7 linked regions of the Xenopus tropicalis genome follow. The protein of the gene in region 1 interacts with the protein of each later gene in a pairwise test. Links are inferred from orthologs where the notes say so. Each region holds a gene or a part of one and is shown in the gene's direction. Other genes may lie near its edges.

What was found.
Region 2: the proteins of mid2 (region 1) and spg21 interact in binary tests that used the Homo sapiens proteins (3 or more experiments, as listed by UniProt). The two-hybrid records come from large-scale screens. The link is inferred for Xenopus tropicalis from reciprocal best matches to the Homo sapiens genes MID2 and SPG21.
Region 3: the proteins of mid2 (region 1) and trim54 interact in binary tests that used the Homo sapiens proteins (3 or more experiments, as listed by UniProt). The two-hybrid records come from large-scale screens. The link is inferred for Xenopus tropicalis from reciprocal best matches to the Homo sapiens genes MID2 and TRIM54.
Region 4: the proteins of mid2 (region 1) and syt17 interact in binary tests that used the Homo sapiens proteins (3 or more experiments, as listed by UniProt). The two-hybrid records come from large-scale screens. The link is inferred for Xenopus tropicalis from reciprocal best matches to the Homo sapiens genes MID2 and SYT17.
Region 5: the proteins of mid2 (region 1) and hoxb9 interact in binary tests that used the Homo sapiens proteins (3 or more experiments, as listed by UniProt). The two-hybrid records come from large-scale screens. The link is inferred for Xenopus tropicalis from reciprocal best matches to the Homo sapiens genes MID2 and HOXB9.
Region 6: the proteins of mid2 (region 1) and bysl interact in binary tests that used the Homo sapiens proteins (3 or more experiments, as listed by UniProt). The two-hybrid records come from large-scale screens. The link is inferred for Xenopus tropicalis from reciprocal best matches to the Homo sapiens genes MID2 and BYSL.
Region 7: the proteins of mid2 (region 1) and slc25a48 interact in binary tests that used the Homo sapiens proteins (3 or more experiments, as listed by UniProt). The two-hybrid records come from large-scale screens. The link is inferred for Xenopus tropicalis from reciprocal best matches to the Homo sapiens genes MID2 and SLC25A48.

Annotation. Positions count from the first base shown.
Region 1 is NC_030684.2:40,258,914-40,263,739, reverse strand, and holds the end of mid2 (probable E3 ubiquitin-protein ligase MID2), read left to right. Parts: intron 1-3,027; coding exon 3,028-3,436; 3' UTR 3,437-3,739; downstream 3,740-4,826. UniProt on the Homo sapiens protein: E3 ubiquitin ligase that plays a role in microtubule stabilization. Mediates the 'Lys-48'-linked polyubiquitination of LRRK2 to drive its localization to microtubules and its proteasomal degradation in neurons.
Region 2 is NC_030679.2:116,210,084-116,214,303, reverse strand, and holds part of spg21 (maspardin), read left to right. Parts: intron 1-274; coding exon 275-420; intron 421-1,089; coding exon 1,090-1,198; intron 1,199-2,110; coding exon 2,111-2,218; intron 2,219-3,936; coding exon 3,937-4,077; intron 4,078-4,220. UniProt on the Homo sapiens protein: May play a role as a negative regulatory factor in CD4-dependent T-cell activation.
Region 3 is NC_030681.2:162,394,699-162,398,918, reverse strand, and holds part of trim54 (tripartite motif-containing protein 54), read left to right. Parts: intron 1-2,575; coding exon 2,576-2,748; intron 2,749-4,220. UniProt on the Homo sapiens protein: May bind and stabilize microtubules during myotubes formation.
Region 4 is NC_030685.2:32,728,832-32,733,663, reverse strand, and holds the start of syt17 (synaptotagmin-17), read left to right. Parts: upstream 1-1,714; 5' UTR 1,715-1,772; coding exon 1,773-1,787; intron 1,788-4,832. UniProt on the Homo sapiens protein: Plays a role in dendrite formation by melanocytes.
Region 5 is NC_030686.2:12,097,809-12,102,509, reverse strand, and holds the start of hoxb9 (homeobox protein Hox-B9), read left to right. Parts: upstream 1-1,330; 5' UTR 1,331-1,440; coding exon 1,441-1,948; intron 1,949-4,701. UniProt on the Homo sapiens protein: Sequence-specific transcription factor which is part of a developmental regulatory system that provides cells with specific positional identities on the anterior-posterior axis.
Region 6 is NC_030678.2:70,760,912-70,765,611, reverse strand, and holds the start of bysl (bystin), read left to right. Parts: upstream 1-1,527; 5' UTR 1,528-1,545; coding exon 1,546-1,804; intron 1,805-2,918; coding exon 2,919-3,081; intron 3,082-4,700. Other genes in the region: med20 (mediator of RNA polymerase II transcription subunit 20), read right to left, coding at 1,368-1,381. UniProt on the Homo sapiens protein: Required for processing of 20S pre-rRNA precursor and biogenesis of 40S ribosomal subunits. May be required for trophinin-dependent regulation of cell adhesion during implantation of human embryos.
Region 7 is NC_030679.2:25,197,679-25,201,898, reverse strand, and holds part of slc25a48 (solute carrier family 25 member 48), read left to right. Parts: intron 1-974; coding exon 975-1,232; intron 1,233-2,336; coding exon 2,337-2,470; intron 2,471-4,220.

The DNA of each region.
Region 1 (4,826 bases):
ATGGCATCCTTATGCATTAATTCAGTTTTACTGAGAGGGAAGGGTCTGTAGGCTTTTTCTTCATACATTACTCGAAAAAAATAAATGGACAATAATCATTCCCCTGTAAGAGCTCTGTATAGTCATTTATTAGATTGGGAACCCATGGGTCAGCCCATCTCCAGTCTTCTAGTTATGGCTGTTTGTGCATTAGTGGCCCCATGCCTGCATCTATTTATTTGCCTTTACGCTAGGTCAGCTTCTCAGCTGCCGATGAGCCCTGTGATCCATTTACTTCAAAGCCAACCCAATGAAGGCTGATAGCTGCCGCAGTATTCTGGGGAGCTGCAAATGTACCCTTAGTTATGTATTTAGGTATAAGAGGCCGCCCGCTGCCATATCTAAGCTGGGTGCAACCTGCTCCTTGCTACTCTCTGTATTATCAGTGCAGTGTAGCAGGAGCAGGTTGCCCAGGGGTAGGGTTTCCCCCATCCAGCAAAGTGTTTAATAGTTGATGCCAATCCCATTTAATAGGGAAGAAAGGTAAAATAGGAAAGGTTCCAACGTACGCAGGTGCCCAGGGGTATAAATAACAGAGACAGGGTCCTCACTAAAGGAATTGCAGCTGATTTCATGCCTATGGTTTCTGAGGTGGGGGTGGCCCTATAAAGAATTTGCTTTGGGGCTCAATAACATCAAATTACGCCGCTGCACGTTAAATCACTGAATGCACGTCTGAGCAAGTTATTATAACTTTTAATGGCCCTGTGTGAATCCTGCACTCTCCCTCTCCCCCCCGGGTCCTGCACTATGTGGTCAGTTGGTTCCTGACAACTCCTATTACAATGATGCTGTCGGCTCGGCTTTAAAATCTCACGCTGATTCTGTTTAACATGCAGCGTGCAGTCCTCAAACATTCATTTTTAATAAGGTACATAGCACTTCAGGCTTCCTAAGCGTAAAATTACCCCACTCCTTTCTGCAGAGGTGTTGGTAATGTTCAGGTTGCAGCAGAAAAAATGTGTTGTGCAGAGTTAATAGAATAAAAAGCCACCAGCAAAATCCTTGATTTGTGCGGACATATTACCCAGAATCCCATGCAAGTGACAGTGTGCGGTTAATGCATTTTTAACATTGTTGTGCATTAGTCAGGGTCTCGGCACAGATACGCAGAGGCAAAACGTTTACTTTCTGCTACCATTAAATGACACTTAAGACAAATCTCTTCTCGTCAAATAAACAGTGAATTGATTTGCTTTTTCCTCTCATAATTAGATTAACGCAATGATTTCAAAGGAGGAAGGGTTGACATATCGGTCAAAGAGGGATGCACAATGCATTCGGTTATTATTCTGCTTGTTATGACAACCTGGAAAATGTTGTAAAATATATATATATATAAATAAATTACATCACTAAGCACAGATATAACTGATGACATTACCAAGCACAGTTTTAAGGATATATAATTATGGCTCTTGTTTATTATATATCGCTTTTTTACAATGTCGTGCAAGGGCTCATTTTTCAAAATAATGCTCCTCCTGTCTTTTTTTGCCTTCTTTATTCTCCTAGTTTACCGTATTTTGCGTGACTTTTTTGTCGCTGTTGGGATTTTTTTGTATTGAGCGATAGTAAACGATGGAAAAACCAATCCATTTTTTTTCGCAACGGCGACGAAAAAAAGTCGCAAAAATACTGATCATTATAAAAAAACGCGTTCGGATGCTTTCGATCCGTTCGTGGATTAGTAAATCTGCCCCATAGTGTACTATAATGCACTTGCGTCCGGGTCTGGCTGCACTCTGCACCCCATGCCGGATAGGGTTGCCACCTTTTCTTGAAAAAACTACCAGCTTTCCTATATTTGTATGCTTTTTCCCTGTTAATAACATTGGAATGAAGAATCATTTTTTCCTGGCTAGGCTGGTAAAATAATGGGCAGGTGGCAACCCTAGCGCTGGATTGGAAATCTATCACTAAGTGCAGATTGCGTTGGTGTTGGACACTGGGCAGCCTTGTGTAACTGTGTGGCAGGACGCCTACTTGCCTACACCCGCCCATCATGAAGGCAGCAGTCTGTTCACAGGTGGAGATACAGGTCTTTGTGCTCCGTTTTTGTGTGCAGAGACCTATTACAATTTTTTAAGTTTCAGAACAGGGCACAAACTGCAAAAAACATGGGTTATTGTGTGCACCCTGCCCTGCACTTAATAAATTACCCCAAGAGGATCATCTGTCCTTCCCTTAAGTTTTTTTCCCCTGTTTTGTTCTCATACCGTAATCTGAACTGATCATGATATACAGCATACAAGGCCAAATGGTGAGTGAAGGGCTGAGTTTTTCTTGTATACTGGTGGGCCTATGTGGTATATGTAAATTGTCTTTTCATAGCACTTGTAATAGACATTTTAGCTTCCTGGATCTTATAGTGTCACCTTATTTGCACCTTTGTTGAGGAACTCTGTTTGCATTGAAATACAAGAGTCCTTATTGTCATGTGTTTACACTGGGCAAGTAAAATTGCTCGTGGGTATTCTCCCACACACCAACATATCTGCCTTGAGTGCTTATTTTTTTTTTGGGACACTGTGTTTGGTATGTACAGGTATCAGATCCCTTATCCAGAAACCCGTTATCCAGAAAGTTCCAAAACACAGAAAGGCCATCTCCGATGGACTCCACTATAAGCAAATAATTCTAATAATAAAACAGTACCTTGGACTGGAGGCAAAACAATCCTGTTGGGTTTATTCAATATTTAAATGAATTTTAGCAGACTTAAGTTATGGAGATCCAAATTACAGAATAATCCCTTATCCGGAAAACTCCAGGTCCCAAGCATTCTGGATAACAGGCCCCACACCTGTACTATATTATATGTTTTAATATGTTTAAAAATGATTTTGTAATTATACACTACATTTGTATTAAGGGAATACCCCTCCATCAATTGTTTCAAGTAAAATGACTCAAATATAAAGACTGCAGCAAGGAGCATATATGTTCTGGTTTCGCCTTTTTACATTTGTTTTTCTCCCCCTCCAGGTATGCAATAGGAATCGCCTATAAATCCGCTCCAAGGAATGAGTGGGTTGGGAAGAATACCTCCTCGTGGGTCTTCACTCGATGCAACAATAATTTTCTTGTAAGACACAATAACAAAGAAGCTCTTCTGGATGTGAATCCTCAGTTGAAACGTTTAGGTGTTCTCCTAGACTATGATAATAATACACTTTCCTTCTATGATCCAGCCAACTCCCTCCACCTGCACACCTTCCCCATCTCCTTTATTCTCCCTGTGTGCCCAACCTTCACTATATGGAACAAGTCTGTGTTGATACTCTCAGGACTCCCTGCTCCGGATTTTATGGACTCCTTTATGTCTCAGCCGCAAGAAACTATATCCAGACCTCAGGAGTCTCCCTATGTTTCTGGGCTTAAGGGTTGCCAGTAAATGAGACTTCTTCATCCCCAAGGACCAACTTCAACATGGCTCATTCAGCAAAGGACTTGGATGGGAAATCTAGCCCCAGGGAACAAATATATCTGTAGTTTGTTCAGTACAAAGACTTCTTCACTCTTCTTTTAATTCAAGATCAGAAAGTAGCTCTGTGTATTTTCTTATATAATGGCAAGCAGAAAGCAAAAAAAAAAAAAAAAAATTACACTGTATTTCTTCCAGGTATTATTTATATTATTTCCATACAAGCTGACCTTTAAATAAACCTTTACTATGTTAGAGAGAGACCTATTATAAGCAATGTCCCAGTTGGTCTTAATTTTTTTTTATTTCTTCCCATCTGCTGCCTGGTTGCTAGGTAAATAAGCTCTAGCAACCAGATAACTGTTTAAAACAGATGCACAACAGAAGATGTAGATAATTCAGAGGGCCAGTTGCAAATTGTCTTATAATGCATGGTCTGAATCATAGTAAAAGTTCATTTTAAGGCAAATTTCTCCCCTTACGGTTGCAAACAATCTTTGTTGCAAAATGCCAGACTTTTCAGCCACCTTCCTAGTTCATTTAAGGTCTTCCATCATGTAGAAATGTTCTAGAAAGGACCTGTGCTTAGCCTAAGGTGGAAGTGTTACTGTGACACAAGTGCACCTACAATATAGGGGTCATTCACAATCTGGCATTTTTTTGCACTTTATCAACTGCGTTGGTCATTGTGTAGCCACTGGCCTCTGTGGACTGCTGTTTGGATTAAGTGCGACCTGCATTGGGCATGTAGGCTTCCTCCCCTCCCGCTCCCTATCTTGCACAAGCACATTACATAAGTGGAAGAAGCTGCAGCTTGCTTTGGGACGCCGTACTTAACGCCTGCCTAAAGGGCTGGGCTGCATCTCCTGACACTGCTTTCTGCATGGAGCACTGTATTTCTAAGAGCTAGAGAGATACAACTGTGGGGACACAATGCTGTTAAATGAGCACAAACACATTATAGGAGCCAATGGGGCTCCACTGTGAACCACTGAATTAGGTGTGACTTGAAATCAGCACTTCCATGCAAGTAAATATTTAATGGGGAATGTGGCGGCAGTCGCTTACCACCACGTACATTTTATGGCTAGCACTCAAAAATCTTTTTCCATTAAAAGACACTTTATTAGATCATCTCAGTCCATGGATGCTAAATTTGGTGCAATGATTTTTGTTTTTGGCCTGATCCAATGGTAGTTAAAATACAATAAATTATAGGAAAGTGGTACATTGAGCTTGACACATTTGTTGCACTGCTATATACAGTTTGCCTTGTTGCTGTTCCTGATGCATTGATGTCTAGTTTGTGGCCAACAAAATAGGTGTGCCTTCAAACATTACTGCTATTGTGCAAAGGCTC
Region 2 (4,220 bases), on another chromosome or scaffold:
ATACTCTCTAAACTTTTACGTTGTACTTTGTTAATGTACACATGCATTACATATTCAATTATTATATAATGTAATTAGTATTTTAACAAAGTTCTTTGTTCTGATTTTGTCTTGTAGTCAGTTTGATGCATTAATGTGAGGAAGACCCTTGCCATTAAACAGTATGATGGCATCAGGCAATTCTGTGCCTTTAAATATATATTAGAATATGTCCCACTAATGCCAGGCAAGTGCATGCTCATATCTGCTCACTTGTTTTATCTGTTGCTTGCAGGTTCATCTATTTGGAGCATCTCTTGGGGGATTCCTAGCGCAGAAGTTTGCCGAGTACACTCACAAATCTCCCCGAGTCCAGTCCCTTATACTCTGTAATTCATTCAGCGATACCTCCATTTTTAACCAGACTTGGACAGCAAATAGGTAGTGCATTTATCACTTTACTGCTTTGTGTTTCAATTCTGCATAAAACAGTAACCCTTACACAACCAAAGGCATCATCCTATCCCTGCATAAGAATATTTTTAGTGTCAGTAGCTGCCAGAAGGAAACCTATACAATTATAAAATGGAGGTTGACTTTTTTTGTATAACTTGTAGTGGATAATGCATTTTTAGTGAGGACAGTGATGGGGGATAAGTGGTGGGTAGAAAACACAGCCAAAAGTTGGATTAACTGGAAAGTCTAATTTGGTTTACATCTGGGCTCATTAGCATTAGCACCAGTACCCCTGGGTATGAGATTACAAGCTACATTAAGCGCTTATTAATTTACAGGCGCTCGATACTTGCTATTTCTCCTTCTGAGCTGTTTTTTCTGAGTGTTCAGCCAGGGGCACTAGGGTTGATCAGGACTGGTAAACTGATTGGAGATTTCTCACTTGTTAATTTCACTGGGCTGTTTTAATTAGAAAGTACAATGTGTGGAATGTGGCATAATGTGCAGTACAGAAAGATCAATGTGGTTATGATGTATGTAGGTGTTTATTGCCTCAGAATACCTACTTTTGAACTGTGGATGTGGCGTGGGTGGTGGAATTATTTTCTTAGTTGTGTCCTTATTTTCTGACAACTAAGATATTTCTCTTTTCAGCTTCTGGTTGATGCCAGCTTTCATGCTCAAGAAGATACTGTTAGGGAACTTCTCCTCTGGCCCAGTGGATCCAGTAATGGCAGATGCCATTGATTTCATGGTAGACCGGGTAAGAAAGAATGATGCATCTGTTTCCTAAACAAACATTTCATTTATGAGCTGGAAACCAAACATGCATAATAATATACAGCCAGCTGTCTATGGGTATATAGATATAATACTGGCACAGAAAAACAGCTTTGCCTGGGTTTACTATAAAGAAGCATGGCTAATGCAGAGAGGCTTTATCTTATACCAGTATTCTATCTACAGCTTATTACTTGGCTTGTGGGGAATAGATGTAAATTGGATAATGCAGTCTCTGAAATTAAAGGGTACAAACTACTATGGAATACCAAAGAGTGTCTAGTTGCTTTCTCACAAGTACAATTTTTTGTACAAATAAAAACATTTATTTTTTAAATTAGGGGCAATAAGTTTCCTATAATTTTCCTTTTACTCTCTATAAATGTGTAAACTCTAGTACTATGTTGTTAATAATAATACAGGTATGAGACTTGTTATCCAGAATGCTCAGGACCTGGGGTTTTCCGCATAAAGGGGTCTTTCTGTAATTTTGTTCTCCACCTGCTAAAAAAATATTTAAACAGTAATGAAACCCAATGGGATTGTTTTGGCTCCATAAAAGGATTAATAATATTTTAGGATCAATTATAAGGTACTCTGTCTGATTATTACAGAGAAAAATGAAATAATTTTTAAAAATGTGAATTATTTGAGTCTATTGGAGATGGCCTTTCCATAATTTGGATAACGGGTTTCCTGATAACTGGTCCCATATCTTAAGGCCTATAGAGGCCTTCTTTGTACAGTTCTCTTTATTGAGTGATGCAGTTGGGCTCTAAGAGGTGATCTGCCCAGGAACATTTCTTGCCTCAGAGTGGGAGTTTTATGTGAAACCATTTTTGGGAACTTAACACAGATGTGTTATGCAACTGACTGTCATTTTTTGTGCTTAAAGCTTGAAAGCCTAAATCAAAGTGAGCTGGCCTCTCGACTGACCCTCAACTGCCAGAACGCTTATGTAGAACCTCATAAGATCCGTGACACTGCAGTTACCATCATGGATGTAAGGCTTTTTTTTTTAGTTGACTATTTATTGCAGACGTGCCTTTTATTTTGCTGTTCTGACGTTTATTTGCATATTATTTGTCTCATCAGGTTATGGTGTTTTTTAAAGAGGGGTACAGATACCGGTAATAAAAAGTAGAATTTATGGTACAGGCTGCCGACATTCAAAATAGGCCCTGGCATTTCAAGTTACTTAAAAGCCCCCCAATAAAAAGCACTGGTCTATGGCAGCTTACATCAGCCCTTCTGCATTTGCAAGAGTTTCCTGATTGCCAGTCTGGGCCTGCTGCTAAGGATCTGACTTTCCATAAAGTGACTGGATTCTGTGTTTTCAGGTTTAGTTGGGTGATACACAATGTGGGGCTAGCTCCAATTTACAATTTGTAATCAAAAGAAAAGGTTAAAAATAGACGGTCATTTAAAAACACAAATAGCATTATGTAACAGAAGACACTAACTTTGCCCAGGTGCAGTAACCCATAGCAACTAATCAGCAGGAAGCATTTACTTGTTATGTGTGTAAAAAAAAAAAAAAAAGAAAGCATTTACTTGTTATGTGTGTATATAAGTTAGGCACATCTCCCCCACCCAACCCACACTATTTGTATTGCATATATCCCAGACAAAAAGTTGCTTTGACCCGGCGGCCATTCTCCATCTCACACATCTTCAGTGGCATTAACATTTGCAAACAGCACATGTGCCCTGTAAAGTTCATGCAATGAACAATGCAGGCTTACACAGGCAGAGCTTACTTTGATTAAAAGTCCTGCTTGAATTGAGCCCTGTAACGGTTAAACTGAGTGGAGGTTAGGAGGAAAAAAACCATGTCTCTTTAGCAGAGAGCACAGCTAGAGCAGACTCTAAGGAAACCAGCAGTGCCATCTCTTCATTGGCCCCAGAATTGAGAAGAACTGAGCATGCTCAGCAAGCCAAAGTCCGTTCCTAAGGCAGGGGGTTACAAGAGGAGAAGGGACCCAGGTGATTAAGGGGATGCTGCAGCCTTACTATTAACCTTTGAACTTCCAGAGTGACGGGTATTTAAAGATTTAACAGTCTCAGTTATATAATGATCATTTGCAACCAATTTAGTAGTGAAAATACAATGATTTAATAGTTCTGCAGTGATCAGGGAATGTTAGACATGCTCTTAAATTATGTTGGTATAAATGCTATCATCTATGATAAAAACATGCATGAAAAGTGCAATACATTGGAAGTAACGCCAAATAAGGGTGAAGACACCCAGAGCTACTAGTAGCAGCTACTTGTCACGGCTACTAAAATAGACTTTGCTTATCATGTACTGATATCTGTCTCTACGTGTGTTTTAGCAGAGGCAATTCTCAGTATTGTCTATGGCAGGGTATTCTCTGGTGACAAGTAGATGCTACTAAGTAGCTCCTAAAGGTTTGAAAGTGCATCAAGCATTTATAAAACTAGAGACTCCCAGTTAAAATTAAAATCTTTCAAGGACGTGACGGCTGTCTGGCGAGATCGGAAGTAGCTGACAGGAAAGGGGTCTAAAGGGTTTTAATAAGCAAAAGCTTATTATAGGAAACATTTACAGACAACATGGCACAGCTCTGTGTACAGATTTTGGCCAGAAAAACTCGAAAGCATGCATTTTCATGTCCAAAATTTGCTCAGTGTAACTGCACAGGCCAACCATTTTTCTATATGTGTTTTGACTGAATGAAACCTTTATCTTGGCAGGTGTTTGATCAGAGTGCACTTTCCACAGATGCCAAGGAAGAAATGTACAAACTGTATCCCAATGCCCGCAGGGCTCATCTGAAAACTGGGGGGAATTTTCCATATCTGTGCAGAAGTGCGGAGGTCAACCTTTATGTGCAGGTATTCCCTTGCATTACACATTGCTCTAGTTTACTTTACAAGAACGTAATATAGCTGTGTCTCTTTTGTGCTTTGCAGTCTGCTGGAGTCTTAAAGGATAAGTTAACCTTTAAAAATTGAATGTAAATTGATGAGAGTGCTAT
Region 3 (4,220 bases), on another chromosome or scaffold:
GTAGGGGAGGAACAAGATGTAGGAGACTCCATAGGAGGAGGAACAACATAGAGAAGAGTCAGTAGGGGGAGGAACAAGATGTAGGAGACTCCATAGGAGGAGGAACAACATAGAGAAGAGTCAGTAGGGGGAGGAACAAGATGTAGGAGACTCCATAGGAGGAGGAACAACATAGAGAAGAGTCAGTAGGAGGAGGAACAAGATGTAGGAGACTCCATAGGAGGAGGAACAACATAGAGAAGAGTCAGTAGGGGGAGGAACAAGATGTAGGAGACTCCATAGGAGGAGGAACAACATAGAGAAGAGTCAGTAGGAGGAGGAACAAGATGTAGGAGACTCAGTAGGAGGAGGAACAACATAGAGAATAGTCAGTAGGGGGAGGAACAAGATGTAGGAGACTCAGTAGGAGGAAGAGCAACATAGAGAAGAGTCAGTAGGGGGAGGAACAAGATGTAGGAGACTCCGTAAGGAGGAGGAACAACATGGAGAAGAGTCAGTAGGGGGAGGAACAAGATGTAGGAGACTCCGTAAGGAGGAGGAACAACATGGAGAAGAGTCAGTAGGGGGAGGAACAAGATGTAGGAGACTCCGTAAGGAGGAGGAACAACATGGAAAGAGTCAGTAGGGGGAGGAACAAGATGTAGGAGACTCAGTAGGAGGAGGAACAACATAGAGAATAGTCAGTAGGGGGAGGAACAAGATGTAGGAGACTCCGTAAGGAGGAGGAACAACATAGAGAAGAGTCAGTAGGAGGAGGAACAAGATGTAGGAGACTCAGTAGGAGGAGGAACAACATAGAGAATAGTCAGTAGGGGGAGGAACAAGATGTAGGAGACTCCATAGGAGGAGGAACAACATAGAGAAGAGTCAGTAGGAGGAGGAACAAGATGTAGGAGACTCAGTAGGAGGAGGAACAACATAGAGAATAGTCAGTAGGGGGAGGAACAAGATGTAGGAGACTCAGTAGGAGGAAGAGCAACATAGAGAAGAGTCAGTAGGGGGAGGAACAAGATGTAGGAGACTCCGTAAGGAGGAGGAACAACATGGAGAAGAGTCAGTAGGGGGAGGAACAAGATGTAGGAGACTCCGTAAGGAGGAGGAACAACATGGAGAAGAGTCAGTAGGGGGAGGAACAAGATGTAGGAGACTCCGTAAGGAGGAGGAACAACATGGAAAGAGTCAGTAGGGGGAGGAACAAGATGTAGGAGACTCAGTAGGAGGAGGAACAACATAGAGAATAGTCAGTAGGGGGAGGAACAAGATGTAGGAGACTCCGTAAGGAGGAGGAACAACATGGAGAAGAGTCAGTAGGGGGAGGAACAAGATGTAGGAGACTCAGTAGGAGGAGGAACAACATAGAGAATAGTCAGTAGGGGGAGGAACAAGATGTAGGAGACTCCGTAAGGAGGAGGAACAACATAGAGAATAGTCAGTAGGGGGAGGAACAAGATGTAGGAGACTCCGTAAGGAGGAGGAACAAGATGGGGAAGAGTCAGTAGGAGGAGGAACAACATGGAGAAGAGTCAGTAGGGGGAGGAACAAGATGTAGGAGACTCCGTAAGGAGGAACAACATAGAGAAGAGTCAGTAGGGGGAGGAACAAGATGTAGGAGACGCAGTAGGAGGAGGAACAACATAGAGAATAGTCAGTAGGGGGAGGAACAAGATGTAGGAGACTCCGTAAGGAGGAGGAACAAGATGGGGAAGAGTCAGTAGGAGGAGGAACAACATGGAGAAGAGTCAGTAGGGGGAGGAACAAGATGTAGGAGACTCCGTAAGGAGGAACAACATAGAGAAGAGTCAGTAGGGGGAGGAACAAGATGTAGGAGACTCCGTAAGGAGGAACAACATAGAGAAGAGTCAGTAGGGGGAGGAACAAGATGTAGGAGACTCTGTAGGAGGAGGAACAACATAGAGAAGAGTCAGTAGGGGGAGGAACAAGATGTAGGAGACTCTGTAGGAGGAGGAACAAGATGGAGAAGAGTCAGTAGGGGGAGGAACAAGATGTAGGAGACTCTGTAGGAGGAGGAACAACATAGAGAAGAGTCAGTAGGGGGAGGAACAAGATGTAGGAGACTCTGTAGGAGGAGGAACAACATAGAGAAGAGTCAGTAGGGGGAGGAACAAGATGTAGGAGACTCTGTAGGAGGAGGAACAAGATGGAGAAGAGTCAGTAGGAGGAGGAACAACATGGAGAAGAGTCAGTAGGAGGAGGAACAACATGGAGAAGAGTCAGTAGGAGGAGGAACAATATGTAGGAGACTCAGTAGGAGTCATAGCCCCCATGATGGCATGGCCGTGCTGTCGAGGCCCCGCCTCATCTCCACCCCCATGACATCACCCCTGCCAGGCTTTCTGATCCGGCAGGGGTGACAACTCTACAACAAGGTAGGACTATTGTTGAAGCCCCTGTGTATTTGAGGGTAGAATTGGCACTGGGTGTTGGTTCTTGTCTGGAAGTGGTTTTAATGTATTAACCCAGGAGAAGGCCTCTGTATGTAGCATTGGTGGTAAAGTGCTGCATGTTATTCTGTATATAGGGGGGCAAAATCTAATTGGTGTCCTTCTGCCCCCAGGCCTCCAATCCTCTGTGGCAGTCACGAGGATCCAGCACTGTCTCCTCAGGGGGGCGATTTCGCTGCCCTTCATGCCGCCATGAGGTGGTGCTGGACAGACACGGGGTGTACGGGCTACAGAGGAACCTACTGGTGGAAAATATCATTGACATTTACAAACAGGAATCGAGCAGGTAAGTTCTGTGGGATTGGGACAGGGGCATTTATTGGTGCATAACGTACATAGGAAAGGGGCATTTACTGTGTAAGAAGGAGATTGGCTTACCTGGTAAATCCCTTCTGCGTAAGCCCATACTGTCAGTCTAGTTAAGCTCCTCTCTGGAGGCTGGACAACCCCTCAATGATCTTGCGAAGCTCCTCCTCTTCCTGTGTCTCCCTCTATCCTATCCAAAATCAGATGGAGAAGAGTTAAACACAACAAACCTGTCGAGTCAAAGTGTTTCGGGAAGGCCAGGTACCTACAGGTAGATAGTTACAGGTAGATACTACTCCTTGTGAGGCAACACCCCCGAGGGAAGGCTCAAGCCAAGGATAGACAGGGAAAGCCCCCCCCCCAGTCACCCTGAGGAGCGGGGCAACACCCCGAGGGAAGGCTCAAGCCAAGGATAGACAGGGAGAGCCCCCCCAGTCACCCTGAGGAGCGGGGCAACACCCCGAGGGAAGGCTCAAGCCAAGGATAGACAGGGAGAGCCCCCCCAGTCACCCTGAGGAGGCGGGGCAACACCCCAAGGGGAAGGCTCAAGCCAAGGATAGACAGGGAGAGCCCCCCAGTCACCCTGAGGAGCGAGGGCAACACCCCCGAGGGAAGGCTCAAGCAAGGATAGACAGGGAGAGCCCCCCCAGTCACCCTGAGGAGCGGGGCAACACCCCCGAGGGAAGGCTCAAGCCAAGGATAGACAGGGAGAGCCCCCCCAGTCACCCTGAGGAGTGGCGGCAACACCCCGAGGGAAGGCTCAAGCCAAGGATAGACAGGGAGAGCCCCCCCAGTCACCCTGAGGAGCGGGGCAACACCCGAGGGAAGGCTCAAGCCAAGGATAGACAGGAGAGCCCCCCCAGTCACCCTGAGGAGCGGGGCAACACCCCCGAGGGAAGGCTCAGCCAAGGATAGACAGGGAGAGCCCCCCCAGTCACCCTGAGGAGCGGGGCAACACCCCCGAGGGAAGGCTCAACCAAGGATAGACAGGGAGAGCCCCCCCAGTCACCCTGAGGAGCAGAGCAACACCCCGAGGGAAGGCTCAAGCCAAGGATAGACAGGGAGAGCCCCCCCCCAGTCACCCTGAGGAGCGGGGCAACACCCCGAGGGAAGGCTCAAGCCAAGGATAGACAGGGAGAGCCCCCCAGTCACCCTGAGGAGCAGAGCAACACCCCCGAGGAAGGCTCAAGCCAAGGATAGACAGGGAGAGCCCCCCCCCAGTCACCCTGAGGAGCGGGGCAACACCCCGAGGGAAGGCTCAAGCCAAGGATAGACAGGGAGAGCCCCCCAGTCACCCTGAGGAGCGGGGCAACACCCCCGAGGGAAGGCTCAAGCCAAGGATAGACAGGGAGAGCCCCCCCCCCAGTCACCCTGAGGAGCGGGGCAACACCCCCGAGGAAGCTCAAGCCAAGGATAGACAGGGAGAGCCCCCCAGTCACCCTGAGGAGCGGG
Region 4 (4,832 bases), on another chromosome or scaffold:
CCTTCTCCCTGACAATCACTCCCCTTTTATTGCGCCCTCCAACTGTGCCCAAGGCAAATTCCTCTGTTGCCTACTCCAAGTTCCGACCCTGAGCTGTTACTCCTCTTTACTGAAAAACGCATGGCCCAGCGTAATATTCTACTGAGAACTGTGCCGCCATCTTCTGTCTTGTCCCATTGTAGTTGCCTTGCTCTGAAGGAGGAGGAGTTAGTGTTCTGGATATTATGTTAGACATCTGCTCACTCCAGCCTTTATAGATGAAATCTTTGCCTAACTAACTATATTGATTTTTTATTTTATTTTGCACAGCCTATCTATTTACCCAGTATCATTTTTACACTAAACTGTTCCATGAATACAGTGATCGGCAATCAGTGGCTCGCGGGCAAGATGTTGCTCACCAACCCCTTGAATGTTGCTCTCAGTGCTCCCAAACCAGGTAGTTATTTTTGAATTCCTGACTTTGTGGTAAGTTTTTGTTGAATAAAAACAAGATTTACTACCAAATAAAGCCCCCTGTAAGCATGTGAAGCTGCCTAATAGCCAATCTTAGCCCTTATTTTGCACCTCCATGAACTTTTATGATGCTTGTGTTGCTCTCCAAGTCTTTTTACATTTGACTGTGGCTCACGAGTAAGAAAGATTGGGGACCCCAGCTTTAATACATTATTATTATTATTACTAACATTTATTTATAAAGCTCCAACATATTCCGCAGCGCTGTACAATAAGTGGGTTTTATACATTGGACATACAGAGTAACATATAAAGCAACCAATAACTGATACAAGAGGTGAAGAGAGTATGCATGGAGTTACATGGCCTATACACCTAAACACATTTACATATATTTATACAAGTTCATAAAAATAAAATATGAAAACAATAACTGAATATAAATAAATGTAATTTAAATTAAAATAACAAAATAAAAAGGTTATAATGTCACCTTGCTTAAGGACTATTTACATTTCTTATTTGACTCTATACCGATCATTATAAGTCATTTTTAAACATGAAATCTATGTTAATTTAACATAGTGATCTGATTAAAAATGCTCATTATCAGCCTAAACTTTACCAAAAATAAATAATAATTTTTAATCTAAACTAATCATTTTTAGAATTAAAATAGACAGATGTTTTTTTCCCTTTTTCAAATGATGAGCAAAATATCCCTTTATTGAGATCTATATTTGCCTGTTGATAGATTGACTTTTAAATGGCTGGGGTGGGGGAGAATGGTAATAAAAGTAATGATGTTGTTTTTCCCTCATTTCTGTCTTGCATCTGAGATACAAATACATAAGCCCTCAGGGACTTCAGAGCAGAGGAAAAACTAAATACAAAGCTTATGCACAGTAAGTGGCGACACTGAGTCCTCAGCCGAAAGATAGACATCATTCAAAACAAAAGAAAAGAAAGAAGGAAAGAATAGACACAGGGCAGACTTCTAATTAAAGCCACAAAGCCAGAAAGTGACAAAAAAGAAAGCAGGTACCCAGGGGTCGGGCTATACAGAAGGTTCAGTCTGGGAGAAAATCTCCATAACCTGCAAGGTACATCTGATCTGACATGCAACACACAAGTACAAATAGGCTTTCTGCTGAGAGAAAGTGTCATCATGAAAGAGGGGGAGGACCGAGCAGCCCTGTGCTGATCAGCTAAACAAGTCACGTCTTTTTTTCCTTGTGAATGTTTTGAGGGCAAAGATGGGAGAGAGGAGCACCATGCTCAGCCTAATCTGGGAACTAATGGCAGTTTGAGTGAAGATGGCGTATATACAGGTAGGTGCTACCTGCGCTTGCACAGGATTAAAATGCAGTGTAAATGTGTTCCATCAGCTTTTAGAACTTACACAGCCTGTGTCTCTGTGTGTGTGTGTGTGTGGTCAAGCCACCAGTAGAACGAAGATGGGAGGTGATGCTAGAAAGTGGATAAAAATACAATAAAAGGGGATAACATGTTTTTTTTATTAATGTGTGAAATTGAAATTTAAAGGAAAACCCCACTCCTATAAACAGGGCAGGTGAAACTAAAACTGCAGTCATGATTTATATCTATTTATACATTGTTCTGTATGTGCAACAGTTAATCTCACCCGACAGGTGCAACCAAGTTTTCTGCTGTGGGAAACTAGAAAAAAAAATACAATACATGATTAAAAAAATAAACAATTACATTGTAATTACATTTTATTGTTACTGAACTAGCTTTTTTTCTACTGTTAACCCTTTCAGGTTACAGTAGCTACAGACCTACAAGTAGTTAAGTTATTTGACATTTTAGCTATTCAATAAGCAAAGTTACTTGTTAAATATCATCATAGCTTAATGAATCTAAGATCTATGCAGCCAGCTGTGCTGAGTGTATCTTAAAAACATGACACACTTTGCTAATTACCCTGATGCAGGCTCAAGGCAAACCTTTTCTGCTTTACATCTAACGAAAGCTGCTTTAGTTTTGAGCTGGGTGGAGCGGAACATTTGATTGGAAGTCATGTTTTGATACCAAGTCAGTTTACATTGGAGGCAGAGAGACAGCTGAGGAAGGAGGGGTGAGATGTCCTTGTAAGCAGCAGATTTGCATTTGTCTCCATTATAACTGGATAAAGAATGATATACTTTTTATGGAGGACAACTGTTGGACATGAATATTGATCATGGAGATATTTTGATTTGGGAACCCTAAGCTGCAAGCTGCCTGTATATGAGGGTCCACATAAATATGAATATATGTTTATTTAGTGGCCTAAGGGAAGATGCCACCTTTGGGTACTGGACCACTGGACATGACCAATTGTATATCAGCACACCTTGGTATCTCCTGTACCTCTGGCCCATCATGTTGGCACCATGCAGAGATTGTTAAAGGAATACTGTCATGGGTAAACATGTGTTTTTCAAAACACATCAGTTAATAGAGCTTCTCCAGCAGAATCCTGCATTGAATCTGTTTTTCAAAAACACAGATTTTTTTTATATTTAATTTTGAAATTTCACATGGGGCTAGCCATATTCTTCATTTCCCAGGGTGCCACAGCCATGTGACCTGTTCTCTGATAAACTTCAATCACACTTTACTGCTAAGTTGCAAGTTGGAGTGATATCCCCCTTTTCCCAGCAGCCGATCAGCAGAACAATGGGAAGGTAGCAAGATAGCAGCTCCCAGTAGATATCAGAATAGCACCCAATAGTAAATCCAAGTCCAGCTTGGGACTCCTCCAGTTACATGGGAGTAGGAGAAACAATAGGTTACATGAAAGTGTAGTTTTGGCTCCTTCTGGGAGCTCAGAATCAGGCACAATGCACTAAGATGACTGCCTACACACCAATATTACAGCTACAAAATACATTTGTTGGTTCAAGAATAAAATTTTATATGGTAGAGTGAATTATTTGCTATGTAAACAGTGTAATTTAGTAATAAAAAGTATACCATAAAAAAACATGACAGTATCCCTTTAATTACTTGAATTATGCACTATGGTCAATTTCTGAATACAGTTAGCTTGCCTGTTATTTTTGGAGAAAGTGAGAAAACAGAATAAATGCAAACTCAGTGTAGATAGTGCCTAGCTTGTAAATGAACGTAGAACCCCAATGCTGAAACCTCTGAGCCACTGTGTTGCCTTTATTACATCCTACCTGCAAAGGAGTATTTTATCTAACTTTTAGCTTCATACAGACATCATTATTCCCTGACAATTTGCTGTTCATTTGTTTATGTGTGTGTGTGTTTTTTATGTTCCTTGTTTTTTTTTTGGCAACTCACAAGCTTGGAATTTCCAATGTTGTCTGGTTTTTAGAACTTATTACCCTTGCAACAAGGTATCATTTTGGAAGTCAGGATGGAAAGTCAAGTGGGTGGGCCTAAAAAGCAAGGTAATTAAAAATGAGAATAACTAATTAAACAGAAAAGGGCAGAATAGGAATGCTAATCTTTTAAACCATATTAAATAAATAATAGAGACCAACTGACTCTAGCTTAGAATAAATTGTCTGTAAATTATGATTGTACTGGTAGTTCCTTCATAAATATTGTATTACTAATTGTCATTTATCAGGGACCCAGTTTGCTTAGCTTATAACAGACATTTTCCAATGGATGCCATTGAAAAGTGCACATATTAAATAAGACCTGTAAGCCACAAGTGTTTCTATTTTGTGAATTTGAAGTTGTAGAGTCCTTTGCCTCTGCACTCAGAACAGGAAGTGATGTCATGCAGAGACATGTTGCTTCCTGTCCTGGAAAATAGTTGTTCCCCTATTGTTACACTATTGCTGCTTTGTGTAAGAAATATATTTTCCAATAAATCAGCAGAAGTTTGTTTTTTATGATTTTGAATACAACTGATATTTATGTTGGTGTAAATACTCCAAAAGCTTTAGTATTCCGATTTTTATTTAATTGGTAGCCCCAAATTATATACATTATTGTGCACTGTATTTTAGTCTTGTGTATAAGGTAAGCTGATCTTGCACAAATATTGTTAAACTGTATCTTCCATTACCCTTAATGGCCAGCCCACCCACCTAATATTAAGCTATGACTGCCAGCACCTCCTGACATCTTTTCACTGTTGTGGGAAACAACAGAGTCTCATTCTACAACACTCCCAAAAGACTCTTCTTCCAAAGCTTGTTGATCAGGGCAGGGGTGTAACTACAGAAGAGGCAGTGTCTGTCACTGCAGGGGCCCCTGTGGGACACTGATTGATAAGCAGCTTAATAAAAAAAGGTCTTCTCCTCACAGTTTGGGGGGGGGGGGGCTAAAATGATTCAGCAGTGGCATTCAGTAATTCATTTAGTGAGTGGATGATCATGTGCCAA
Region 5 (4,701 bases), on another chromosome or scaffold:
TGGTTGGTAAGCTGTTATATAAATGGAAAGTAACCATGGGGTCACAGAGTCACTTATCTTGGATAAAGCTGCACCATATAAAATGCCTGTGAGTTATAAATATTTGGTCACAATATGGGACAGTGTGTAGGCACCATCTTATATTTGTATCTTTGGCAGAGAGAAATGATATAGTGGGGTCACAGTGTCAGTAGCGCAGTACAGAATGGCAACACCTGGCAGTATATAAGCTGTAGGCATTTGGCATAATATGTGACTGTAAAAATATATTTATTGGATGAGAGGCAGGGCATAAGTAGTTATACAGAAAGCAAATGGGATCATAGTGTCAGTAGTGCAGTGTAGGATATAAATATGGCAAATTACTACTTATATATCTGATTATATTATGGGCCAGTCTGTAGGCCTCAGCCACCACTTTAAATCAGTGCTGCACAGGGTACAGGCAATTGTATAAAGTTAAAATAAACAAGCAGACATAGTGCTAGTAGTGCAGAACATACATATACATGCTGCAGGGCTGGGCACTGTACAATGGTCTGTAACTGGTGACAATTTGTGGTTACCATTTCATACTAGTGCAGAGAAATAAACCAGGGTCATAGGGACACTAGCACTTTGGCACAATGTGAGTAAATAGTGTTACTGGGTAGGGGAAGGGCAGTTAAATAAAATTAGTGTAAGGTATCAATCAGCAGTGCCTCCTAGGAAATGATTGGCACCATATACATTTTGCAATATCTGCCATTATATGGGGACATTGCCTGGGAAATACGGTGTATTCATATGAATAGAAACACAATTCCAGATACAGGGGGCATAAAATATCCACATCCAATATCCACCTAATTGGTGTCTGTTATTTTGCATATAGTCAGTGTAGGGAAAGGGGCCACTAACTATAAATATACTGTTTATAATCCGTACTGTACAAGCCAGACTGTACGCAGCCGCCATGCTATGGCAGCGAGAGGCACCGTTCTGCTAAATTGCGCACTGATTTGCGCACACGGCCAATTGCGCACAGCTGAATGAGAGACTGCTGCGCCCTCCCAAGCTGTTGCACCCAGACCCCCCTGTGCCAGATTGTCTTGTGGCTTCACTAAAAGGCACCAGAGCCTGCACAGAAATAGGTGTCACCCAAGTTTCAAATTGTTGGCTGAGGAGTGCGTTGTTGGTCGGATCTCAGGCGTGTCCCAGCCCTCATGCCCATAAAACAATGGCTCCCAGATATGAATGCTGACAGCTCCGTGCGGCCCCTCCGATTGATGAATAGCCCTCTGACGCTTTATCAGGCACACGGAGAAAGTTTGACCAATCATTTGCCAGGAGCTCACACGCCAGCAGCCCAAGTGCACCGAGTTGGCGAGCAAGTTGGGAGAGGGGAGAGCTCCTATATCTTGTTCCCTTCAATGAAGCTGCTGAGTAGGATGCCCGAGAATGGCCATTTCTGGGACTCTCAGTAATTATTTTGTGGAGTCAATAATAAGCCCTGAGAGTGAGGAGGCTCCAGCAGCCAAATTCTCTGGACAGTACCCCAGCCCCCGGCCAGCAGCCCATTCAGCTCACTCTGAGCCCTTGGACTTTCCCTCCTGTAGTTTCCAGCCCAAAGCTCCTGTATTCAGCGCGTCCTGGAGCCCTCTGAACCCCCACCCAGCCAGCCCCCTGCCTTCTGTCTACCACCCCTACATCCAGCAGGGCGCCCCCACTCCGGAGGGCAGGTACTTACGGGGCTGGCTGGAGCCGCTGCAAAGAGCAGAGAATGGACCTGGCCAAGGAACTGTGAAGTCTGAGCCGCTGCTGGGGCCCCCGGGGGAGCTGGACAAACTGGGAGCCCAACAGTACAATCTGGGCTCGCCTGCTGCAAGAGAAGATGCCAATGAAAGGGCCACTTTCCCGGACAATAAACTGTGTGAAGGAAGCGGGGACAAAGACAGGACACATCAAAGTAAGTTCTGCACCGAGGAAGTGGGAGACAAAAGCCTAAGGGGGCAATAAAAGGGCAATATACCGTCAGGAAGTGTATGTGCTCCTGGCCAGCAGGGCAAACACAGGGGAGAGCCCCCCAGGCACCGGCAATAGCCTGAAATCTTTCCACCTTGTAGTCACCCAGCCGCACAGGTAGTTAAACAAGCCACAGTATCCATCACAGTAGCCAGGAACATTTATATTTGTAATCAAATCCCTCCTCAATATTTATATCTCAAACAAAGTTCAGCCACAATATTTCCACCCTCAGCCACAATAACTTGGATCCAAATCAGCCATAATATTTGGAATTAGCCCCAAGATATACCCCCCAAGGCAACCCCTGTATTTACACCATATCCCCCCAATTAAACAGGCCACACGGTAAACTAACACTTTCCTTATATCGAATAAAACTCCCCCCAATTATATATATACATTTCAGCCAGAGCAGTGCGACTTTATTGCAATATTACTAGACTCAAATCAGCCCCAGTGTTTATACATTACCGACAAATCAGCCACAGGATTTATATTTTAAACCATAAGGCCCCATGTTATTGGCAGAGGTGAAATACTTATATTTATATCTACACGAAATATTCAGCTAGGAAAATCCTTGGCTAAATATTACAAATCCCCGACGATAATAACACGGATAACTTAGCAGCACAAGGAACCACAATCTGTAAAATATACAGGAGGGGGGAATATCCAGGCACAGTTAATATTTGTAGCAGAAACGTTCCCAGAATCTAAATTTTCTTACCAAATTACCCATAAGATCGGGGATTTACAACAAGCCTGCCCCAGCCATTATATTTCACAGCCTTACGAAAATATTATATTAATATCGCCGGCGATTTATATATTTAACCACTGGAAGAAGACGGGAAAAAAAGAGCTTCCAATATTTAATATACCGTATTAAAGGTACATAATTCATAATATATATGCCCTACAGCAAAGTATCTGGCAGGCAGCATAAAATAGTTTGTAAATGCAAAATGATCACCTCTTGTATTAGTGCAATTCCGCCGTGCGATCTGTTTGGACGATTGTACAGCCATTTATCTGGTCGGCACAGGTGAAAATGATTCATAAAGGCAACCGATCCCATTTGCAAAATCACCACTCTTACGAGGTGGATGTGTTTATGGCACCTAGTACCTTTTTATATTTCCCACTTAATATTAAGCAATTGCAGATGTAATGATCGGTTTAAAAGCATTTTACCTTGATAAATGAGGGTATTATGCATGGGAGTTAAACTGCACTTTAAAAACCATATTCCACTAAACTGGGCACGGATCCAGAACAAACTCCACAATAAAAGCCTTGGATGGAGAGAGTGGGATTTGCAGCTTGTGGATTTAATATCCGTGCAGGCTGACAAAACGCTGTGAAGAATTGCGCGTAAACGTTTACGCAACGGTCCAACCAAAGGAATTGGGGAGATCGCAGGCGATTTTAGCAAAGATTGTTGTGCTGAGGGTCAAAGGGAAAGGCCAGTGTACCCCCCAATGTGATATACTGCCTATTATTTCAGGGTGATTGATCAGAATCCAGCTTTAAAAAGTGCCTGTTTTATTTCCAGATAATAGTAATATGGAGCGGAATATCACTTCAGTAGTGAGAATTTTTTTTTATTATTATTATTTTATTATTATTATTAATACTAATAGGGATAAATAAATGATATTTTCTGGAATCCACCCCTCACACACTCATACACACAGGCAGCAATGCTGATCAGTAGTCGTGTTCGCTTTATTAAATATTAACTTTTTAATTCACTTTCATATTTCATTCCCATGCAAATGATTTAGAGACTGAGCAGAAAAAGAGACACCAGAGTTAACACAGGGGGGACTGAACCCTTACAATCCGCCAGGCAGGGCCAGACAGTCAGCCAGGAATATCATGTATATTTTATTACATTAATTTGTATGCGATCAGGGGCTGGAATCGTGTGTGTGGCTTGTAATTCCTACTCTACCATTTCCATCGGGGTTCAGGAACGGAGGCGATATTAAGGCTAATAATTATTGTCCTACTTGAAAAACTCTGCCTTTGTTAAGCTGCAATGGGACTGCTGTATGCACAGGACATAAAGCTTATTCCTATTAGCGGAGCTGAGCCATGCCATAAGCACATCCAGGGGCTTTTATGCTTTGCAAATTCTTCATTTCGTATGGAAATACCAGCCACAATATATTTCTGTTACTAATTAGTGTGTGTGTGTGTCCTTGTTACTTACACACACAGAGAAAGATATACACTGCTTATAAAATAATATAAATATTTAATATATAAATATAATATATATTTAATATAGTACCCACAATGTGGATATATAATATCTCTCTATCACACACACTCTGGATGTTTTATATACCACACACACACTGGATATATATATATATATATATATCCTATCACAAACACTGGATATATATCACATATCCCACCAACAAGATATATACTTTATATTAAAAACACACACTCACATATATATATATATATATACACACACACACACTATATACCACAAACACACACACACACTGGATGTATATATCCTATCACAAACACTGAATATATATCATATATCCTACCAACAAGATATATACTTTATATTAAAAACACACACATATATATATACACACATTATATACCACAAACACACACACACTGGATATATATACCACACACACACTGGATATATATCAT
Region 6 (4,700 bases), on another chromosome or scaffold:
TTGAAATATAATGTACTGTTGCCCTGCAATGGTAAAACTGGGGTGTTTGCTTCAGGAACACTACTATAGTTTATAAAAATACGCTGCTGTGTAGCCATGGGGGCAGCCATTCAAGCAGGAAAAAAGGAGAAAAGGCACAGGTTACATAGCAGATAACAGATAAGACACCATTGTATTCTACAGGGTTTATCTGTTAGCTGCTATATAACCTGTGCCTTTTCTTCTTTTGAATGGCTGCCCCCATGTCTACACAGCAGGGTTTATATAAACTCTAGTAATGTTTCTGAAGCAAACACACAACTTTTACCAGTGCAGGGCAGCAGTACATTATAGTTTAATTTCTTTAAAATATATACATTTTTGGTGTTACTGTTCCTTTAAGATGACTCTAAAGAGGGCAAAGAAGTTAAGAAAAACAAAATCTCTCTTCATATTACCAGTGCAGCTAAGCAAACACTGGCATGTATATTGTAAGATGTATCCAGTATGGCAGCATCATGGGCACTCAAAGGTTTAGCGTCACCAGAAAAGATTTTCAAAGCAGCAATTTGGAGGTGTCCTAATATTTTTGTGAAGCATTAAAAAATGTTTCTGCTTCTGCAGATTTTGAATAAAAAAGTAAAGTATTTTGCAGCATTTGGTATGTGTATGTTCCCTCCCAATTGTGCGGACTGCCATGAGAATGTGAACAGGAAAAGAGAAAATCTATATCCAATTTACTGTGATTTTCTTTTCCTGGAGCATTCCAATGCATTGTGGGTTATGTACAATGGTGGCATTTGGAGGATGCAGGCTGAAGGCAATCATACAGCAATAGGAAGTATGGTTGCTGCCTAGGCAAAAAAAGAAATCATGGCTATTGTTAATGTTATTTATAAGAAAGGAAGATAAACATAAGACAGATATATTTTGGTATAGTATATCAGTCTTCCTATATTCATAACTTTATACCCTATTAATAACATTGGCATCCAGCACATTTTTTTTTTTACCAGCAACGCTATTGGGGGTTCAAAATTATCATTAAAAAATTCTATTATTCCTTAACAAAGGCAAAAAAAAATCCTGAAAATAAGAGGCAGAATACATTTTCAACAGGTTATATTTACAGTGTTGATTTTTAAAAAAGGATATCTTTTAACTGTCTCCCTATTACCCATAGCATTCTTAGTGTGATACTGCACTGCAGTGTTGAATTCGTAGGATTCCGTTTTTCTATAATTAACAAAGCAGCAGTCATGCAAATAAGTAAGCGTAAACTTAGTTTACAAAAGATAAAAACAATCCAGAAGTTAACACGTATCTGCAAACATCAAAATGACGTTTCTTCTTTTTCTACTACTACATTAAAAATGACAAACACTTACCAAGTCACTCCCATGCTGGTACTTAATTGTACAAAACACAGCGACGTGTTATGACGTCACGGCGCTCAAAATTGTTGTCATTATTTGCGGTTCACGCAAGTCCCACATCGAGGCGTACGATGCCAGGGGAATAGGAGCATGCGCAGTGTGTGGATCTATGCACGTGTATGTCAGGAAAATGCCAAAGCACAAAAATTCTCGGGGAGCTGCTTCTCGCTTACTCCCCTTAGCTGATCAGATCGAACAGGAGGGAGAAATTAGACCCTCGTTCCGTAATAAGCGCAAGGGGAAACCTACAGACGACGCCGAAGATGATGGATACGTGGACGAGAAATTGTCCCGAAGGATTCTGGAGCAGGCCCGTATTCAGCAGGAGGAATTGGAGGCCGAATATAGTCTGGGGAATGTGACCCCTAAAGAGAGGACAACTGTTTTAGGTAAAAAAGGGTAAAGAAACATTTCCAAGGCAGAATACAAAACAAAAGTTTTTAAACCGGTATATAAAATCAGTGGGGAGTCTTTAGACTGAGTCATAACCAACAACTAGTGCTGTAGTTGTAAATACATAGAAACGAGTATGGGACAGTCTTAATAATCCATTAATGTAATCCATTTAGGGCCAGATTATATTGAAATTTTGCCATGCAAAAAAAGTCTACTGGGGGCCAAAGAAATGCTCAAATGCTCATTAGCTGGTTCAAATTGAACATTCCAGGTATATAATATGATACAGTCATACACATATAAGAATATTTGAAAAGTTGTACATAAATAATTTGCTAACTTCATTCTGTGATAAAATGAAGGATATCTAATGTGCTGTTTTATATGCTGATGCATCTCCATGCAAACACATGTGCAGTATGAAGCAAGGAGGGAAAGGAAGGGAGAATACCTTTTTAGAGATGGCTGCCTGTTCTAGAATATGTGAAGTAAGTGTGACTGAGTAAATATTTGATTAGGTGAGCCAAAAGTGTGGCATTTTTACTAAACAATAGGAGGACTATTGGGCAGTATGCTTTTTAAATTTTGACTTGCATTCTCCTTTAATGATTATACTCCACATAGCATATATACTTTAGTGTATATGTTATAAAAGACCGGAATCATGTGTGCAAAAATGGATTGTACACTGCACCTTCATCTTAATTTTTAAGATTTGATTTTATCAAAAATGTTTTTAGGACCCTTTTTAAATTAAAGGTACCATACAGGCAGTGCTGCTTTCTAGTTCTATTTAGCCATGACAAGGTACAGTATGCTCAGTTATACTAGCTGTAATTAGAACAAAAAGTGTGTAATATAGCCTAACATGCACTAAATGTATTCAGACTGTGACCCTTAACTCGCATTACAAATATTTCATGTTCTCTTGGGCCTACCCTGGGAATTGTTTGGAACCGGTGCTCCACAGAAACAGACCTTGTAGCATTCACTAAGTACAGTCTGAATTAACTTATTTACAAATTAGAGGTCATTATTTCTTCATATTTATCTTTGCTTGTATATTGGCAAATCAATCATTATCTTTTGTAAATCCTTGCCCTTCAGATTCCAAGAACAGAGCAGAGGGTTCAGACTCTGAAGATGATGAGTGGCCTTCATTGGAGAAGGCAGCCAGTCTGGAGAAAGGTACCCTCAACGAGGAGGTACAAATTAACCCTGAAGATGAAAAGGCAATGGAAATGTTTATGAATAAGAACCCTCCACTAAGGTAAAGTAGCAACTATCTGGAGACGCCAAGGGTTACATGGGTCAAATAAAGCCGGGCCAGAACTTGGGGTAGTCAGAAGGGAGCAACGATGTGGGGGTGTGACAGTTACCTCTTCTGCCTACCCCCTAGTACACACACTATTGCCCCAGCTGCTTTTCTCGCATCCTACCCGGGATGTCAGTGCACTTTCTCATGTACACACATGAGAGGTGGGGTGCAGGGTGGCCAATTGGGTTGCCTAGGGTGCCCGGTCGGCTTGGCCAGCCCCTGAATAAAATAATCATTAATAGAAATACTTTATAGCAAAGATTACGGAACTTTATCCATACACTATCATTTGTGAAATTTAACAGGTCTGGATATGTACATTTTAGTCAAAAGATGATTTTGAATAAAAACAAATTAGTGATGAGTGATTCATAACATTTTCAACCCTAACCTGCTGTTTTCCAACCCAGCTTCTACTATAACTTTTATGTGGTTCTTCTCCGATGACTCTTATATGGGTGGGACCAGTCACCACAGGAGATGGGTTAGAATTAATACATCACCTGGTTGCAGTTTTACCTGCCACCCTCTTAAACCCGCTTCTAGGGCTTGGTTCTCGTGGGTTTTGAGTCATCCCATTTATCCCTAGTGTGAATGAATGCTTAGTTTACCTATAGTTGCAACCAGTAGAGCAAAATGAAACTGAATTGCTGTCTCTGCTAATTTCTTTAGTATATGGCTTTACATAATGACAAACCCCTCCATTGTTTCTAATCCCTCTATCCCTCCTAAAAGGGGTGTAACCATGTATATTCACAGCCCAGTCACTTGTTTCATCTCACTAGGTCTCAGTGATACAAATTATATCCTAATTGTCAGTACATTCAATAGACTCCAGCTCTTCTAATTTCCCTGACAAGCTCTGTGCATTTGCCAGCATGCCGTGGAGGTTACTATTTTTCCCTCTAATATTTACATTACAGAACTAAGAGTTAGATCTGAGGTTACTATTAGGGGTTTTCCATGTAACAGAGGAATCTCCTTAGCTGGTAAAATGTATGTATCCTTGCTTATCCCACTGCCAGATCTACACTAGCTTTCCCATAACCCCCCCCCCCCTGCCTTTTTTAAACACTCCTCCAGCCTCTTAGCCATTTTTTTTCCCCAGCACAATGGACCCCCATTCCATTAAGGAGCAATCGGTCATGGCTGTATAGATTGTACCCCAAAGAAAAGTCAGCCCAGTGTTCTAGGAACCCAAACCCTACAGCCAAACATTTAGCTCCCAAAGCTCCCGCTGTTTCCCTAAACGTTGCACGTGGCACAGGCGAAGCTTCAGAAAAAATTACATTGGAGGACTTTTTTTTTTTTTAGAGCCTAGGTTCCTGAACTCACTCTTTAAGGTCCTCCACCTACCATTTATTTTGTCATTAGTACCAATATGTACCAAGACATTTGGGTCATGCCCCACCCAATAATTTGTCAACTTGATCAACCACATGCCAAATCCTAGCACCAGGAAAATAGCATACTGTCTGGATCGCTACAACCAGACAGTATGCTGATTTCCTAGCACCAGGAAACCAGCATACTGTCTGGTTGTAGCGATCCAGTCGATAGATAACCCTGTC
Region 7 (4,220 bases), on another chromosome or scaffold:
CCTACATCTAAATAGTTTGTATAAAATACATGAACATTGGAAGGTATATCAACTTACTCAAAGTATACATTATTTATATCATTACACCTGCCATAATTAATTTAATTCTTCTCTTCTTTGTATTGCTCTGTCTCTCTCTTCCTTCCTGGTTTTTCTTTTTCCCACCACCCAGTTTTAACCCTTCCCTATTTATCATGACATACCCTTTCTCTCCCTTTTGCTCCCTATTTAGTTTTCTTTGCCAGTTCCTTCTGTCCATTATTTTGCTTCTCATCTTCTATTGCTACTTTATTGTCTTCTTCAAACTTTCTTCTCCACTATTCATCTTCTGACCTCCCATTCTCTCCCTTTTTCAGTTCTTTTGTTGCCCTTCTCACCTACTCTATGTGCTTATTTTTTCCTGTTTACCTTACATTCTCCCACTCCTTTTGGCCTGCTTTTACAGAGGCAAGTGCCCCACAATACCCTACCTAGTTGGTGTTGCTGCAACCATATTTACTGTATTTATGCCAATAGCCACATCTGATATTTGGTGCCCAAGTCTTCAGCTGTTGCTGCTTCCTGTACAAAAGGTTACAAAATAAATAAACCTACATGTGTTTATACTCATGGGGTTGAATTGAAGGTTGGACAGAAACTTTGGACTAGTAGCATAAATGTAATATATGAATTGTATCTACAGGTCTCAAAAATGTCACCAGTGGGGCTACCCATGTTTACCTTTTTTTAAAATCTCCCCGAAAAGGAATGTCAGGGTAAAGGCGATTTTCGAGATATTTGTCACCTGGGCAATTAGTTTATTATTTAAAAATCTTACCTTTTCAGCATTTAAAGCCAACAATAGTCATTTAAATATGAATCTATGATAACGGAGAATTTTGTGTTATACAGACAATTGTAATGACAGAGATAGAGACTGAAATATATTTCTTTACAACTTCTTTTAAGTTCTTTATAATTCTTTCTATGTACAGGAAGAAGATCACTAAACCAGACACAAGTGCCACATAAATGGCATGCAGTGTACAATGGCCCAGCACATTGTATGAGTTGTATCTTAAGGCAAGAAGGCATTGCAGGGATGTACCGGGGGGCTGGCGCTATGCTCCTTAGAGACATTCCTGGCTACTGTTTATACTTTATCCCTTACACGTTTCTATGTGAATGGATTACTTCAGACCAGCACAGAGCACCGAGTTCCTTTTGTGTTTGGATAGCTGGTGGGCTGGCAGGTATGTCTTTAGTGATAGTAAAAACATAATCATTTCAGATAAGCCCATGTTGAAAGATGCATAAAGCATAAACATTTGTTTAAAAGATAATTTGTAGTTGGCAGTTTTATTGTTTTTAATTTTATGATGGATACAGTAGGACAATTTGAAATTGGTCTTCATTTTTAATTTTGCATTTTCAGGTTTACATTTGTATTGTGCAACTGTCAGGCTTGGGATTTTAACAACTAAATAGTTGCAGAGAAATAAACAGCGCTTTCATACTGGCTCTTTTTGTTAAAATAGATAAAAGGTAGAGCTCACATAAAATGGATTGCTGGAAGGTGGCCATATACAGTATATTGTCACTTGTGCAGTACCTGCAGGCTGATTTGTCATATACTATAGAACATAAATCCCCAACATGTTGCTCACCACCCCCTTTAATGTTGTTTCCAGTGGCCTCAAGTAGGTGCCAATTTTTACATTTCTGGCTTGGAGGCAAGTTTTGGAAGCACAGAGACACAGTTTTACTCCAAGTAGAGCCTCCTGCAGCCCAGCAGTCCCCGTGGGGCTACCAAATAGCCAATCGCAGTCCTTATTTGGCATCTGCAAAGAACTTTGCTTGTGTGGCTCACCAAAACTTTTTACGTGGCTCATAAGTAAAAAAGGTTGAGGACCTATGCAATAGAAAAATGGCCAGTGTACAGGCACCTTAAGACCCTGGAAGGGGTTAGGGCTTTAAAAGCTTTGGGGTCTGACCTTCTGATAGGGGAAAGAAATAACCCGGTGAGTACATGAAGATGTAAAATAAGATTGCATTCCCAAGTTATGGCATTGCATTTGCAAAGGAATAAATGCAGATAATATGTACCTTTAACATAACCAAAGAATAGAAGATCAAATAGCCCCAGGCAGTATGTTTTGACTGCAACATAGTTTATTTTAGCAGTGCAAGCACACCACATGTTTATATATGTTGTATGCTTACACTATACTAAATAAACTACATTGCAGTCAGAAGATACTGCCTGGGGCTGTTTGATCACCTATTCTTTGGTTATCCAGTAAAAGCAAAAATCATGGTTAGTATGACAACATTTTTTCTTTAATTTTTTACCTTAGGGGCATTATCATGGGGCACAGCAACGCCCATGGATGTAGTAAAAAGTCGTCTTCAAGCAGATGGTGTTCATTCCACTAATTATAAAGGGGTCACAGACTGTATTACCCAAAGTTACCAGAAGGAAGGTATTAGGGTAAGTGTATTATTAATGCAATAACCGGGAGAGCTGGGAAAAAGAAATAGAAGAATTGTTTGTTTAACTATAGAATGTTAATGCTGTGTTGCATATTGAATAGAAATATATACAAATATAAGACAAACAAAAGCCATCAGGAGCAGGAGGAAACCTGTGTGTCCCTTACCATATTGTAAACTACATAAATCCGAACAACATTATCTAGTGCTTTTTGCTCCTTTGTGGAACTGGTCCCTACTGGCTTCTAATTCTAAAGTGAATCTGCTTTTAAATAGACAGGGTCTTTGTATAACTGAGATTAACAGGGGAAATAGACACATGACCTCTTTAAAAAATAAGAAGGGTATATCTCATTAAAAAATGCTTTATACAGTAAATGCAAAGTGTAAAGGGAGAGAGGTAATTGCTGCAAATGACACAATTGGTGCCACTTTATATGGTTGATCTATGGAGGCAACTATTGCCTGGTCTAAATGTGAATTTTTCAGAGACCTGGGGACCAGTGGGAACCTCTTTGTTAAAAAGTGCAAAATTATACCTGTGCACAGTCACTCACTTCATTTACATGTTGGCATAAATCCCATATTCCTTCACTAAAACCTGCACACACAGTGCAGTCTTTTAACTAATTAGTTAGCTATTGCTGAGTGCATAGATTCCTTACCTACTGCCCAATCACATATGCCAGAAGTTGAAGAAGCCTGACCACTGCCACCCTCTGTCCTGTCTACTGAACTGTCCAGGTTATGCAGAACATAGAATGTGTGTGTGATATGCCCACTAATGTCATACAAGCCACTGACTTAGTTGAATGCCTCTAGGCGGCACACAGCCCTCTTGATCCTGCTCTTCTTCCCTGCCAGTTCTCTGTTAGAAGTCACATTGAGAATGTGTATTTTTGGCCCATATTAAAGAACTCAGACTGCAGCCCATTGTCACTATGTGGAACTGTTACTGATATTGCTCTTTACTTTGCTTGATGTTATGACACTAAATGACCACAGTGTATGTATATGTATGTATATCTTTATTTATAAAGCGCTACTTATATACGCAGTGCTGTACAGTAGAATACATTAATACAAACAGGGGGTTATTAAGCTAATAATAGATAAATACAAAGTATAACAATAAATTCAAATAAATACAAGATACAGTTGCAATAGGTTAAGATTCAAAGACACAAGAGGATGGAGGTCTGTATACAAGAGTGTGTCTGTATACATAGTTTAAGGCAGGGATCTCCAACCTTTTTTACTCATAAGCCACACTCAGATGTTAAAAGTGTTGGTGAGCCACACAAGCTTGAAAAAAGTTCTTTGGGAGATGCCAAATAAGGGCTGTGATTGGCTATTTGGTAGCCCTATGTGGACTGCTGGGCTGCAGGAGGCTCTGCTTGGAGTAGAACTTCTCTGTGTTTCCACAACTTGCCTCCAAGCCAGAAATATAAAAATGGCACCTACTTTGAGGCCACTAGGAGCAACATCAAAGAGGTGGTGAGCTCATAAACCACTGGTTGGGGATCACTGGTTTAAGGGCTTGTGCTTATTGGCATACAAAATATTGTCATTTTACTTGTGGAAGCTTGAAAGTGAAGGAAAACAGGTGTAAACAGATGTAAATACATTCTCCAACCACCGCACCAGCTGGGCAGCTGCATCTGGTTTCAGTCTTAAAGGAACACCAAAAAATGAAAGAGCTTTAAAGTAATAAAAATATAATGCACTGTTGCCCTGCACTGGTAAAA